Linked DNA regions of Oryctolagus cuniculus. The protein of the gene in region 1 binds, or shares a complex with, the protein of each later gene. Links are inferred from orthologs where the notes say so. Each region holds a gene or a part of one and is shown on either strand. Other genes may lie near its edges.

Region 1 (6,595 bases):
TTTTTAAATTGCTATTCATACAGTATTCAAATGACCAACTGCCATTACTGTTGTGTGAATTTTATGAGATGCCTGCATTCATCTCTATACATTGTGTAATCAAATGATAGTTTGAGAAATTTCTAGAGCAACTCTTCTGGGTAAGAAGCATTTCACACTTTCATTCCGTTTTAGGTAGTGCTCAGTAGGGCTGGAATTGTTACCTCCACTTCTGCAGTTTAACTGAGATTTACAACAGTTAGTTCTTTTGCCAGCCTTCTTTAACAACCTCATAAGGATCTAAGAAAGTTTGCCTGGGGACATTTGACCCATCAAGTTAAGATGCTGCTGTGACTTCTGCATCGCCTGTTAGAACGCCTGGGTTTGCGTCCTGGCTCTGCTTCTAGGTCTAGCTTCCTGCTCATGCGCACCCTGGGAAGCAGCAGATGATTACTTATGTGCTTGGGTCCTTGCCACCCACGTGGGAAACCCAGATGCAGTTTCAGGCTCCTGTCTTCACCTGGGCAAGCCCTGGCTGTTACAGGCATTTGGGGAGTGAACCAGTGGGTGGAAGATCTGTCTGTCTCCATTTCTCTTCCTTTCAAATAAATAACTGTAAAAGTAAAATAAAAATAAAAGTTTTCTTTTTCCTTGGTTTGCATCTTTAGCCATGGTTACTCCTATGTTTGGCTTTTTCCTCTTTCCCTTTTCAGTCAAGTGAGGATCTTTTCTTGAATCCCAACTTTTTCATTCCTAGGCTATGCCTAAAATACAAAACTGCAAACACTGCATGCTTTCTTCAGTGTCTTTTCCAGATTCTACCAGGAACTACTCCTGGGAGTGTTTCCTAGTATCTGATCCAGATGGCATGTTAGAATTTGGCAAAACCAGCCGGCGCCGTGGCTCAATAGGCTAATCCTCCACCTTGTGGCGCCGGCACACCGGGTTCTAGTCCCGGTCGGGGCGCCGGATTCTGTCCCGGTTGCCCCTCTTCCAGGCCAGCTCTCTGCTATGGCCAGGGAGTGCAGTGGAGGATGGCCCAGGTGCTTGGGCCCTGCACCCCATGGGAGACCAGGAAAAGCACCTGGCTCCTGGCTCCTGCCATCGGATCAGCGCGGTGCGCCGGCTGCAGCGGCGGCCATTGGAGGGTGAACCAACGGCAAAGGAAGACCTTTCTCTCTCTGTCTCTCTCTCTCACTGTCCACTCTGCCTATCAAAAAAAAAAAAAAAAAAAAAAAAAAAAGAATTTGGCAAAACCTCTGAGTCTTCAAAATAATTAGCTATCATCATTCTATAGATGAAATAAAGTATTATAGTAGAAAGGAGATTGGGGTGAGCCTCTGGAGATCTGCGGTCTAGTCTCCTGTTCCACTCCCTATCTCCGGAACTCTCAGAGGTCACATAATTGCTATGAACTTGATTTTCCTCACCTGCAAATGAATGTTCTGGTTTAGTGATGTTTCTGGAAGTGTTAATATTTTGTGATTACACGAGGGGACTTCAAAGAGTTCATGGAAAATGGAGTTAAAAGGTAAGTGTATTTTGGTGCAAAAAATATTTGAAATCTGTGCATGTTGAGGGATCTTCCAAAGTTCATGTGTATCATGAGAAAAACTATACAGGGATTTCAAATTCGCACCAAAGCAAACTTATCTTTTAATGAAATTTTTCCATGACCTTTTTGAAGTCCCCTATATGTGTGGAATTATATTTAATAGTGAATTCTGATCAATTTCTAGATAGTCAATCTTCTAGAATAACGTTACAGTAGGACAAAAGTCATCTGTGTGTGTTCTTAGGAATCTTAGTGATGCCTGCTCATAAAAGCCAAGAGTCCAGTGGTTCGTTAACAAGCCTCGTGAGAGAGAACTGATTCAAGGAAAAATATAAAAAGCCCTTACCAGAGCCTCTTTTTTTTTTTTTTTTTTCCTGCAGAAACTATGAGGATTATTTCATCAAAGCACAGAAAGTGAGACGCCTCATTGCTAATGACTTTGTGAATGTTTTCAACTCCGGAGTGGATGTCTTGTTAACTCCCACCACCTTGAGAGAGGCAGTGCCGTATTTGGAGTTCATCCAAGAAGACAACAGAACGCGAAGTGCTCAGGACGATATTTTTACACAGGCTGTAAATATGGCAGGTGAGGATCCCTCAAGAACCTTCTGGCTTTCTTCCAGTTCTTAAACAGATAGCCTCGTCTTCAGCTTACGTTCTAGACAGATCGTCCGCTAAAAGAAGTAACCGGTATTCCATGATTTTTGGAGTGTGTGTGCATGTGTGTACACACTTGCCACACACACTCACATGTGTATGTTTTCCATTTTTATTTATTTTCATTTTATTTGAAAAGCAGAGAGAGAGACAGACATAGATCTCCCATCCAAAATGCTTGCAACAGCTGGGGCTGAGCCAGAGCAAAGCCAGGAGTCTGGAACTCAATCTGCGTGTTTCACATGGGTGGCAGGTACTCAAGGACCTGAGCCATCACCTGCTGCTCACAGGTGTTCACTGGCAGGAAGCCTGGGCTGGAACCCAGGTACTGCAATATGGGGTGTGGGTGTCCGGAGTGGCATCTTAAATGCTATGCCAAATGCCTACTCTCAAAAGGTATATGTTTTGAAACCTTTCAAAACTATAGGAAAGTTGAAAAAGTAGTATAATGAATACCCACACGCTCTCCTCTTGAATTCTTCTTTGTAAACTGACTGCCTCATTTACTTTCTTTTTCTCTGTCTGTCTCAATGCACACACACACTCAGTGTTTCTTGCCCAGTCGTTTGAAAGAACGTTTCAGATACCATGACACTTTACCCCAAATGCATGACCCTTCTAAGAATAAAGACATTCTTCTGCATAATTACAATCCTGTTATCACACCTAAGAAAACAATAATTCAGTAAGAATCTGAATATAATGCATATTCAGATTTTATCAGTTGTCCCAAAAATATCTTAAAGTTTTTGCTCGGGTTGGTGCTATGGTGTAACAGGTAAAGCTATACATGCTGGCATCCCATATGGACACCAGTTCATGTCCTGGCTGCTCCACTTCTGATCCAGCCCCTTGCCAATGGCCTAGGAAAGCAGCATAAGATGGCAAGTGCTTGGGCCCCTGCGCCCATATGGGAGGTCCAGATGGGATTCCTGGCTTCTGGCTTCAGCCTGTCCCAGCCATGGCTGTTGTGGCCATCTGGGGAGTGAACCAGCAAATAAAAGATCTCTAACTCTTTCAAATTAAAAAAAAAAGGTTTTGCCCTTTATATTACATTTGTTTATGATGTCTTGTTTTTATTATTATTATTTAACAGAGTTAGACAGTGAGAGAGAGAGACAGAGAAAGGTCTTCCTTCCGTTGGTTCACCCCCCAAATGGCCGCTAGTGCTGGCGCTGCGCCGATCCGAAGCCAGGAGCCAGGTGCTTCCTCCTGGTTTCCCATGTGGGTGCAGGGCCCAAGCACTTGGGCCATTCTCCACTGCACTCCCGGGCCACAGCAGAGAGCTGGACTGGAAGAGGAGCAACCGGGACAGAATCCGGCGGCCCAACCGGGACTAGAACCCGGAGTACCAGCACGACAGGTGGAGGATTAGCCTAGTGAGCCTGGCCATGATATCTTTTTAAAATCTAGAACAATCTCCCATCTCTCTTGCTTTTTTTAGAAATATATCTGGCTGATTTTGTTTTTTTGTTTTTTTTTAAAGATTTATTTATTTATTTGAAAGTTGAGTTACATACAGAGAGAGAGAGAGAGAGATCTCCCATCCACTGGTTCACTCCCCAAATGGTCACTACAGCTGAAGCTGGGCCTATCAGAAGCCAGGAATTTCTTCCAGGTCTCCCATGCAGGTACAGGGGCCCAAAGCAGTTGGGCCATCTTCTACTGCTTTCCTAGGCCATCAGTGGAGAGTTGGATGGAAAGCAGAGCAGCAGGGATTCAAACCGGCGCCCACATGGGATGCTGGTACTACAGGCGGCAGCTTTACCCATTATGCCACAGCACTGGCCTCTGACTTTGTTTCAATCATCAATTATAATGTAGGAAACTCAAGAGGAAAAGAAAAGTCTACTGTATTTACCCATGCTTTTACTTATTGTGTTCTTTTTAATCCCTTCCTTTCTATTTAGAGGAATTTTTTTAGCCACTCTTTTAGGATAGGCCTGCTGGTGACAAATTCTCTTAACCTTCCTTCAGAAATGTCTTGATTTCTGCTTTATTTTTAAAGGTGTTTTTTGTTTTCGTTTTTTGCTGGAGGTAAGATCTGGTTCAATAGTTCCTGCCTTAAGCACTTTAAAACTACTGTGCCAGGGCCGGCACCGTGGCTCATTTGGCAGGTCCTCCACCTGTGGCGCTGGCATCCCATATGGGTGCCGGGTTCTAGTCCCAGTTGCTCCTCTTCTGGTCCAGCTCTCTGCTGTGGCCCGGGAAAGCAGTGGAGGATGGCCCAGATGCTTGGGTCCCTGCACCGCATGGGAGACCGGGGGAAGCACCTGGCTCCTGGCTTCGGATTGGCTCAGTGCTGGCCGGAGCAGCCATTTTGGGGGTGAGCCAGTGGAAGGAGGACCTTTTTCTCTGTCTCTCTCTCTCACTGTCTAACTCTATTAAAAAAAAAAAAAAAAAAAAAAAAAAAAAAAAAAAAAAAACCTGTGCCACTTTCTTCTGTCCTGCAGTCTCTGATCAGAAATCCTCCACCTTTTAAATGTTTTCTTTTAAATGACACTGACTCTTTTTGAAGAGTCTAATCCATTTGTGCTTTACGAGGTCCACTCATGATCTGGATTTATCATATTGGTAACTTCTGATTGGATTTAGCTAAACCTTTTTGGCAGAAATCCTATGTACTCTTCCCATCAGGAAACAGTTATAGCAGCTTGTCCCACTTTGGGACACTAAGTTGATCACTTTGTTAAGGAGGTAGCTGCTATATGTTTTCTTTATCAAGATACATCATTGCTTTTGTCATTTAAAAGGAATTTATAAGTGATACGTGGATACCCGGTGAATAAGCCACTGCTCAGTAATTTTGAATCCAGTTCTAGCAGCCACTGATCATTCTGACCTGAATTAAATCACTGTCTAAAGAATTACCAAATGCCGACATCTCTAATTCTGTCATTCCTATTGGTATTAGTTAGAAGACTTCTCCAAAGAGGAGCTTTTCTCTTTGTTTCTATACGATGTATTAAAAGGAATTACTGTAATCATTATTTTTGATAGTTAAATCATGCTCAATTTGGCCAGTTGGAGCCAAATTGCATCAAGTTGTATGCATCCTCTAGACCTATCCTCATTAATTTTGGAAAACTTCCTTGTTCTTTAAAAAAAATATTTATTTATTTGAAAGTCAGAGAGAGAGGAGAGGGAGAGGAAAAGGGAGAGGGAGAGGGGGAGGGAGGTCTTCTATCTGCTGGTTCACTCCCCAGATGGCCACAATGGCCGGAGCTGCGCCGATCTAAAGCCAGGAGCCAGGAGCTTCTTCCAGGTCTCCCATGCGGGTGCAGAGGCCCAAGGACTTGGGCCATCTTCTATTGCTTTCCCAGGCCATAGCAGAGAGCTGGATTGGAAGAGGAGCAGCCGGGACTAGAACCGGCACCCATATGGGATGCCGGTGCTTCAGGCCAGGGCATTAACCCGCTGCACCACAGCGCCAGCCTCGGAAAACTTCCTTGTTCTATGGCATAACAAGAAATCTCAGGATCTTGTACTTTCTCTGTCCTGGTGCTGGAATTAAAACTACCCTGCGTTAATCGATCTAAAACCTGGAATTAAACTACTGTGCGCTAACTTCCCATTTAATAGATTAGCAAAAATTCAAAAGCCCAGCAACATGCTGTGTTGACAAACCTGTCAGAAAAGCAGCACTCTGGGCAAGCGCTGTGGCACAGTGGGTAAAGCCTCCGCCTGTGGCGCCAGCATCCTATATGGGCACCAGTTCAAGTCCTGGCTGCTCCTGGCTCCTGCCTTTGGATCGACGAAGCTTCGGCCTTTGCAACCAACTGGGGAGTGAACCAACAGATGGAAGACCTCTCTCTCTGCTCCTCCTTCTCTCTGTGTGTAACTCTTTCAGATAAATCAATAAATCTTTAAAAAAAAAAAAATCCAGCTCTCTGTTATAGCCTGGGGAAGCAGTGGAGGATGACCCAGGTGCTTAGGCCCCTACATCCACGTGGGAGACCCGGATGAAGCTCCTGGCTTTGGATCAGCCCAGCTCCAGCTGTTGCATGCATTTGGGGAGGGAACCAGCAGATGGAAGACCTTTCTGTCTGTCCTCTCTGTAACTCTACCTCTCAAAGAAATAAATAATATCTTAAAAACAAAAGAAAAGCACTCATTTTGCTGGTGAGAATTCAAAATAATATAACTATTACAGGGGAATTTGGCAATATCTAATTATAGATGTGTTGATCCTTTGATGCAGCAATCTCTCTTTATCTGACAAACTTTGAAGGATACTAAAAAACATGTACATAAGGTAATTCCTTGTGACACTGCATGACATGGTCAGATATTACAAACAACCTAAATACCGAGCCATAGAGAACTAATTGAATAAATTATTGTAAAACTTTGTCATGGAGTATTGTACAGCTATAAAAAAAGAATAAAAGTCTCTGAACTGAT
Region 2 (6,948 bases), on another chromosome or scaffold:
TTATTTATTTGAATAGCATGTGACACACAGAGATAGATCTTCCATTTGCTGGTTCCCAAATGCCTGTAACAGCTGGGGCTGGCCCAGGCTGAAGCCACGAACCAGGAGCTCCATCCAGCTCTCCCAGGTGGGTAGCAGGGACCCCAGTAACTGGCCCATCATTTGCTGCATTCCCAGCTGCATAAGCAGGACGCTGGATCTGAAGTGGGTAGCCCAGACTCAGCCAGCACTTCACCATGGGATGAAGGTGCCCCAAGCGGTGGCTTAACCTGCTGCACCACAACACCTGCCCCAAACCACACATTTATATTATTGTTTATCCAGATCACTTTTAAACAGACAGAAGTTCTATTATGAAGCAACCAAGTGTAAAACCAGAGAAATTAAAAGAGGAGTTGTGAGAAGCCATTAAAATTCAAAAATGAAACCTGAATGACAAGTCTCCCCCTTTTCTTTGTGACAGACATGGGTACAAACATGGGTGCCAGGACTTCTTGGCTGTGACCTTGAGCCGACCTCACTTTCCTCGTCAGTAACGGGTAAAGACAGCAACCATCTCACAGTCAGTGTGAAGCTGACTTCGGTTACCCTCTTGGGAAGGCCTGGCTCAGTGCTACTGTAACTCAGAGCAGTTCCACATCCACTGAGCCTGCATGAAAATTTCATAGCCGCAGCTAAGGACTGCTTGAGACAGACATAGGCCAAGAAAAGGATTTTACGCCGGCGCCGCGGCTCACTAGGCTAATCCTCCGCCTTGCGGCGCCAGCACCCCGGGGTTCTAGTCCCGGTTGGAGCGCTGGATTCTGTCCCGGTTGCTCCTCTTCCAGGCCAGCTCTCTGCTGTGGCCCGGGAGTGCAGTGGAGGATGGCCCAGGTGCTTGGGCCCTGCACCCGCATGGGAGAAGCACCTGGCTCCTGCCATCGGATCAGCGCGGTGCGCCGGGTATGCAGCGGCCACTTGGGGGGTGAACCAACGGAAAAAGGCAGACCTTTCTCTCTGTCTCTCTCTCACTAACTTTGCCTGTCCAAAATAAACAACGGAAAAAGGCAGACCTTTCTCTCTGTCTCTCTCTCACTAACTTTGCCTGTCCAAAATAAATAAATAAAAAGAAAGAAAGAAAGAAAGAAAGAAAGAAAGAAAGAAAGAAAGAAAGAAAGAAAGATTGATTTTAACAACAAAACGATGGGATCTTCCATAGTGCCTAAAAGCTGGAGAAAGACTAACCCTCTGAGCTGTCAGCCGCTCTCAGTATTGGTTGAGGGTCAGGTTTTGGCTAAGCGGCTAAGCTGCTAAGACGACCGCGTCCCATTATCTGGGTGCCCGGGTTCGTTTTGCTCCAATGCAGACCCTAGAGGCAGCGGTGATGGTTCAAGTAATTGGGTTCCTGTGTCCCAGCCGGGAGACCTGCACTGAGTTCCCAGCTCCAGCCCAACCCGTTAATTCTGAGTGTCGTTTGCCATGGACAAATTACGAACAACTCTGCCCACTGTGTAAGTTTGGAATAAGCACCAAACGAGCCAAAGGATGTCACTGTGCTCTATAAAAAGCAAAACACTGCGAAAATATGTACTTGGCCTTTCAGCGAGGCACCCAGGCGGCTTCGGTGCTGATGGGCGGGGAGAGGGCTCCTGCCGCTGCCCTCACTACGGCCCTCATCCCCGCTCTCGGTTCCAGCCACGGCAAGACGTAAGCAATGTGGCGGAGCCCACGGCAGAGAGCACGGGACGTGGGTCGGCGGCTCACCTGAACGCACTGCTGGTAACGCTTGAAGAGGTCGGTGCACGGGTCCCCAGAGCCGTCCCCCTTGAGGAACTTCTCAGCAAACCAGCGATTGAAGCACTGGTCGTACTCGCGCTTCATGTCTGTACACGCCTCCCCAACGCTGTTCATGGCGATGGCTGCGAAGGAGGCGGCAGGGGCGCACCCTGATGGCGTCACATTTAAGCGCGTCGCTCGGCCTTACGGGTGGCGCACTACGGGTGCCGGGAAGGGGAGACATGTGGGCGCGGGCAGTACGGCTGGGCCTTCGGGCTCCCCTGGGTGGGTTCCGGGCTTTCACCGCCAAGGCGGATGCTCAGGTAAAGGCCCGGGACGTCTAGGCGGGTGGCGGAGCGGGCCGCGTCCGTGTGACCCACCCTCCCCGATTCATTCCCCAGGGAAGTGGCCGGGTGACGGCCGAGGTGATCGAGCACCTGGAGCGTCTAGCGCTCGTGGACTTCGGCAGTCAGGAGGCCGTAGCGCGGCTGGAGAAAGCCATCGCCTTCGCCGACCGGCTGCGCGAGGTGGACACGGACGGCGTGGAGCCCATGGAGTCGGTCCTGGAGGACAGGTAAGCTCGCGGCTGCGGCCCCCCGGCCTGGACGGAGGCACCTCCGCAGGCCGCTGCAGGTGGCGGCTGGAGCCCCCGTTTCACAGCGACATGTGTTCATTATGCATGCTGTCACTCCCGCTTACAATCCCCGCGCCCGCCCAACGTAAGCGGGAGCAAAATCCGAACGGCCGCTCCTCGCCGTGGAGGCACCTCCCCCTGGGGTCTCACACACTGTGCTGCCACTAGGCTGGCTTCCCCGACTGCTTCCGCGACCGGCCGGGTCGGCTCTCATTTGTGCATTCTGCCTTCCGGAGTTTGCACGGCTGGCTCCTCCTTCCTTGGCTCTTTGACCTCGGCTTATCTCCTCAGAGTGGCCCCCTGGCACTCCGAATCCCCTCTCCCCTTCCAGTCACCAACTCTGTCTCGTTGGGGGTTTCCTGCGTTGATTTGTTGTCGTTATTATTACAGTGTGAGTTCACTGAGCTGCTTGCTGTCTCGAGATTTTATGCATTTTCTGATGTACTGATTCCCTAAGGAAGTATCTGTGAAAGTGCAGCAAGACGCAGGCACAAGCCCATGGCAAACCTTTCAGAACACGAAAAACAGGACCCAGAAACAACCTAAACAAATGGCAAATACACACTTCCACAATGGAATATTCAGCAGTTTAAAAATAACGAAACAACTACATGTTATTTGTGTGTATCGCGTATCAGCCTACAAATAGCATCATATACGCTGCCATGGAGAAGTCTCTGAGACATGCCTATTTTTTCTTTAAAGGCAGCATTAGAGCAGTACTCTTTGGGGCCCTTGTGGTGGTGCAGCAGGTGAAGCCGCTGCTTGTGACACTTCCAGTCCCAGCTGCCTGCTAGCGTGCATGGGAAGGCAGCAGAAGGTGGCCCAAGTACTTGAGCCCCTGCCACCCACGTAGGAGACCCAGACGGGAGTTCCAGGCTCCTGGCTGCAGCCTGGCCCAGCCCTGGCTGTTGTGGCTGTTTGAGGAGTGGACCAGAGGATGGAAGCTCTCTCTCCCTGTCTCTTTGAAATAAGTAATATCTGTCTTTGAAATAGATAATAAATCCTTTTAAAAACCCAGTACACATTGCTTCTTGGCCTTTTGGCTAAGATCAAGTGTAAAAATCAGCACTGTTCATACCATATGTGTAGTCTACATCTGCTGGTGTATAATTAAGTTGTGTTCCCCAGAAGCAAATGCAAGAAATTCACAAAATGATTAATTCATGGGAATGTTAAGGAAACTTTGTTTTTGTTGAAGATATATTTATTTACTTGAAAGAGTTACAGAGAAGCAGAGGCAGAGAGAGAGGGAGGGAGAGAGGGAGGGTTCACTCACTGCCTGGTTCACTCACTCCCTGGTTCACTCCCCAGATGGCTGCAATGGCCGGAGCTGGGCTGATCCGAAGCCAGGAGCAGGAGCCTCTTCCGGGTGCAGGGGCTCAAGCACTTGGGCTGTCTTCTACTGCTTTCCCAGGCACAATAGCAGGGAGTTGGATCGGAAGTGCAGCAGCCAGGACTCCCATATGGGATGCCAGCATTGCAGGCGGTGGCTTTACCTGCTACACCACAGCGCCGGCCCCCACACATAATGTGCCTGAGAGCAGCGGTATCAGTGAGTGAAGTAGCGCAGTGTCATGCAGTGGGGACAGGTGACTTGCTGACAAAGCAGCTGTGAACAGCAGGAGCGGTTTCCGCCCACCTCTACCAACTGCTGCCAGATCTTAATTTGAAAGGAAGCGCCTTCCTGGGGAAAGCTGCTTCCCAGCAGCACACTTGATTTGCTGTCGGGGGCTACAGCTGCTTGGACAGGAGGATGGGTGACTTGCTGTGCTCCCTCCCCCAGAGTCAGGCCGGATGTTAGTCCCCAAACACTTAACAGAACTGAGCAGAAACTTAACTCAATCATGGTGCTGGGTGGCGGGGCCCTGGGTGATTAAGTTAGATCATTAGGATGGAGCCCTGACTGGAGTCCTGGTGGCCTTGTAAAGGGTCAGACAAATCAGATCAACACAGACATAGCTGCTGAACTGGGGACCCACCTGATCCTGGACTGTGAACCTCAGGCCCATAAACCAAAATAAACTTTGTCTATAAAGCAGCCTGTCTCTGGTAATTTGTTATAAAGTCAACTACTACATAGCTCATAATCATAGGGACAGTTGACAACTATCCTAGCCTTTTCTTGGTAGAAATAATAGACAAAAGCAGTCCTAACTGCAAGTGGACGCAAGGAAGATTCGCTGCCTTTGGCTAGTGAACAGGCCCAGCCAGACGATCTGCGACTACATTCTTTGTGTGAGTCTTGCTCCTAACTGCCACGCTTTCTTCCAACCTTTCTTCTTCCTTGCAATCTGGCACTCGGGTCAGGGCAGTGAATCTGCTATTACACTGCACTTCAAAATGGAATCTGATTTTCATTCTGTGGCCTGCGTCCTGGAGGTTTCACACTGCTCCTTAGGGTGAAGACAGCATCAGTGGAGCCTGCAGGGAGTCATCAAACCTAGCCTTTCAGTTCTTCATGCGCTCTCCTTCCTAGAATTCCGGCCTGGCCTTCACTCCCACCACTCCTCTTTTTGTCTACTTCAAATTTCAAATGCCACCTCCTTAAGAAGTCTTTTTTTTTTTTTCTCAAGATTTGAACAGAGAGAGATCTTCCATCTGCTGATTCACTTCTCAAATATGGCCACAACGGCCAGGGCTGGGCCAGGTGGAAGCCAGGAGCTCCATCCTAGTCTCCCACGTGGACAGCAAGGGCCCAAGCACTTGGTTCATTTCCTGCTGCCTTCACAAGTACATTAGCAGTTAACTAGATGGGAAGGGCAGCAACCAGGACTCTACTGGGGCTCCTGATATGGGATGCCAGCATCGCAGGTGGCTTAACCTGGTGTACCACATTGCTGGCCCCTTCATTGTACTGAATTAGGTTCTTTCAGGACATGTGACTCTTCATGGTATTCAGTAAGTACAATACACCTATTCACACATCTATTTGAGTGACACCTGATTTCTCTGCTCCTCTCCTGTTCATCTGTGTTCTTGGGAGCATGTCTATTTCTGCTCATGTTTGCAATGTGTAACACCAAATAGATACTCAGTAAACATTTACTGAAAGACTGTTCTTTATTAGTATCTTTGGGAAAGGAAGGAACAGAAGCCTGAAGAGGAGTCAGAATCTTCCATCACCTAGAGGGTAACTATAAAGAATAAAATCAGGGGCCAGTGTTGTGCTTAGTGGGTTAAGCTGCCACCTGCAACATCAGCATCTCAGGTGGGTGCTGGTTCGAGTCCTAGCTGCTGCACTGCCAATCCAGCTCCTGCTAATGTGCTTGGGAGGGCAGTGGAAGATGGCCCAAGTCCTTGGGTCCCTGCACCCAGGTGGGAAACCCAGATGAAGCTCCTAGCTTCGGCTTGGCCCATACCTGAGTTTGCAGCCATTTGGGGAGTCAACCAGCAGATGGAAGACATCTCTAACTGTGCCTTTCAAATGAGTAAATTTTTAAAAATTACAGAGGGAGGGGCTGACACTGATGTAGCAGGTAAAGCCACCACCTGGAGCGCCAGCATCCTGTATGGGCACCAGTTTGAGTCTTGGCTGTTCTACTTCTGATCTAGCTCTCTGCTGTGGCCTGGGAAAGCAGTAGAAGATGGCCCAAGTGCTTAGGCCCTTGCACTCGCATGGGAGACCCAGAAACAGTTCCTGGCTCCCAAAAGACCGACCCAGTTGCAGCCATTTAGGGAGTGAACCAGTGGATAGAAGTCTCTCTCTCTCTCTCTCTGCCTCTCTGTAACTCTGCCTTTTAAATAAATGAATAATTAAAAAAAAAATACAAAGGGAATTTTGTGAAAAAGATGAGGGATCTGGATCTACTAGCTGGGATCTCAACTTGGCATTCAGTGATTTGCACCTTCTGTATATTAGAAAACCAGTTTGTGTTAGTAATTCACATTCAGTTTTTCTTTTTTTAATGCGAATTTATTTTCATCTATTTGAAAGGCAGAGATAGAGATCAATTGACCTTGCATCTGCTGGTTCACTCCCCAAATGTCCTAAAGCGCCATAGTCAAGAGCCCCGAACTCCATCCAGGTCTCCCATGTGGGTGACAGGAACCCAAGCACTTGGGCCATCATTTGCTGACTCTTGGGATGTATTAATAGTAAGCTAACGGAGCTGGCTGGTTAGCTCAGTTGGTTAGAGTGTGGTGCTAATAGTAAGCTAGATTAGTGGCATGTAGGCATTCAAAGTGGCAGGGTTTTTAAAGATTTATTTGAAAGCAGAGCAAGAGAGGGATAGAAATATCTTCTATCCACTGGTTCTCCCTAAGTGGCCACAATAGTCAGTTCTGTGCCAGGCCTAAACCAGGAACTAGGAATTCCATCCTGGTTGATCCCCCATGTGGGTGGCAGGAGCCCAAACTGGGCCATCATCTGCTGCTTTCCCAGGCACATTAGCAGAAAGCTGGATTGGAAGCAGAGCAGCCAGAACTTTGCAATATGGGACATTAGTGTTGCACAGCCTAACTCTGTGCCACAACACCAGCCCCCATTAATAATTTTAATATGACATTAGTAGGATTTTAGTGTTTTTTTTTTTTTTTTTTTTTTTTAAGATTTATTT

Evidence for each region. The genes of interacting proteins can lie anywhere in the genome.
Region 2: QRSL1 (region 1) and GATC share a complex: the UniProt entries of both Homo sapiens proteins name them as parts of the heterotrimeric GatCAB amidotransferase (AdT) complex. The link is inferred for Oryctolagus cuniculus from reciprocal best matches to the Homo sapiens genes QRSL1 and GATC.

What each region holds. Positions count from the first base shown.
Region 1 is NC_091436.1:64,566,228-64,572,822, reverse strand, and holds part of QRSL1 (glutamyl-tRNA(Gln) amidotransferase subunit A, mitochondrial), read left to right. Parts: intron 1-1,914; coding exon 1,915-2,120; intron 2,121-6,595. UniProt on the Homo sapiens protein: Allows the formation of correctly charged Gln-tRNA(Gln) through the transamidation of misacylated Glu-tRNA(Gln) in the mitochondria. The reaction takes place in the presence of glutamine and ATP through an activated gamma-phospho-Glu-tRNA(Gln).
Region 2 is NC_091452.1:16,477,142-16,484,089, forward strand, and holds the start of GATC (glutamyl-tRNA(Gln) amidotransferase subunit C, mitochondrial), read left to right. Parts: upstream 1-1,958; 5' UTR 1,959-1,997; coding exon 1,998-2,078; intron 2,079-2,156; coding exon 2,157-2,329; intron 2,330-6,948. Other genes in the region: TRIAP1 (TP53-regulated inhibitor of apoptosis 1), read right to left, coding at 1,744-1,890. UniProt on the Homo sapiens protein: Allows the formation of correctly charged Gln-tRNA(Gln) through the transamidation of misacylated Glu-tRNA(Gln) in the mitochondria. The reaction takes place in the presence of glutamine and ATP through an activated gamma-phospho-Glu-tRNA(Gln).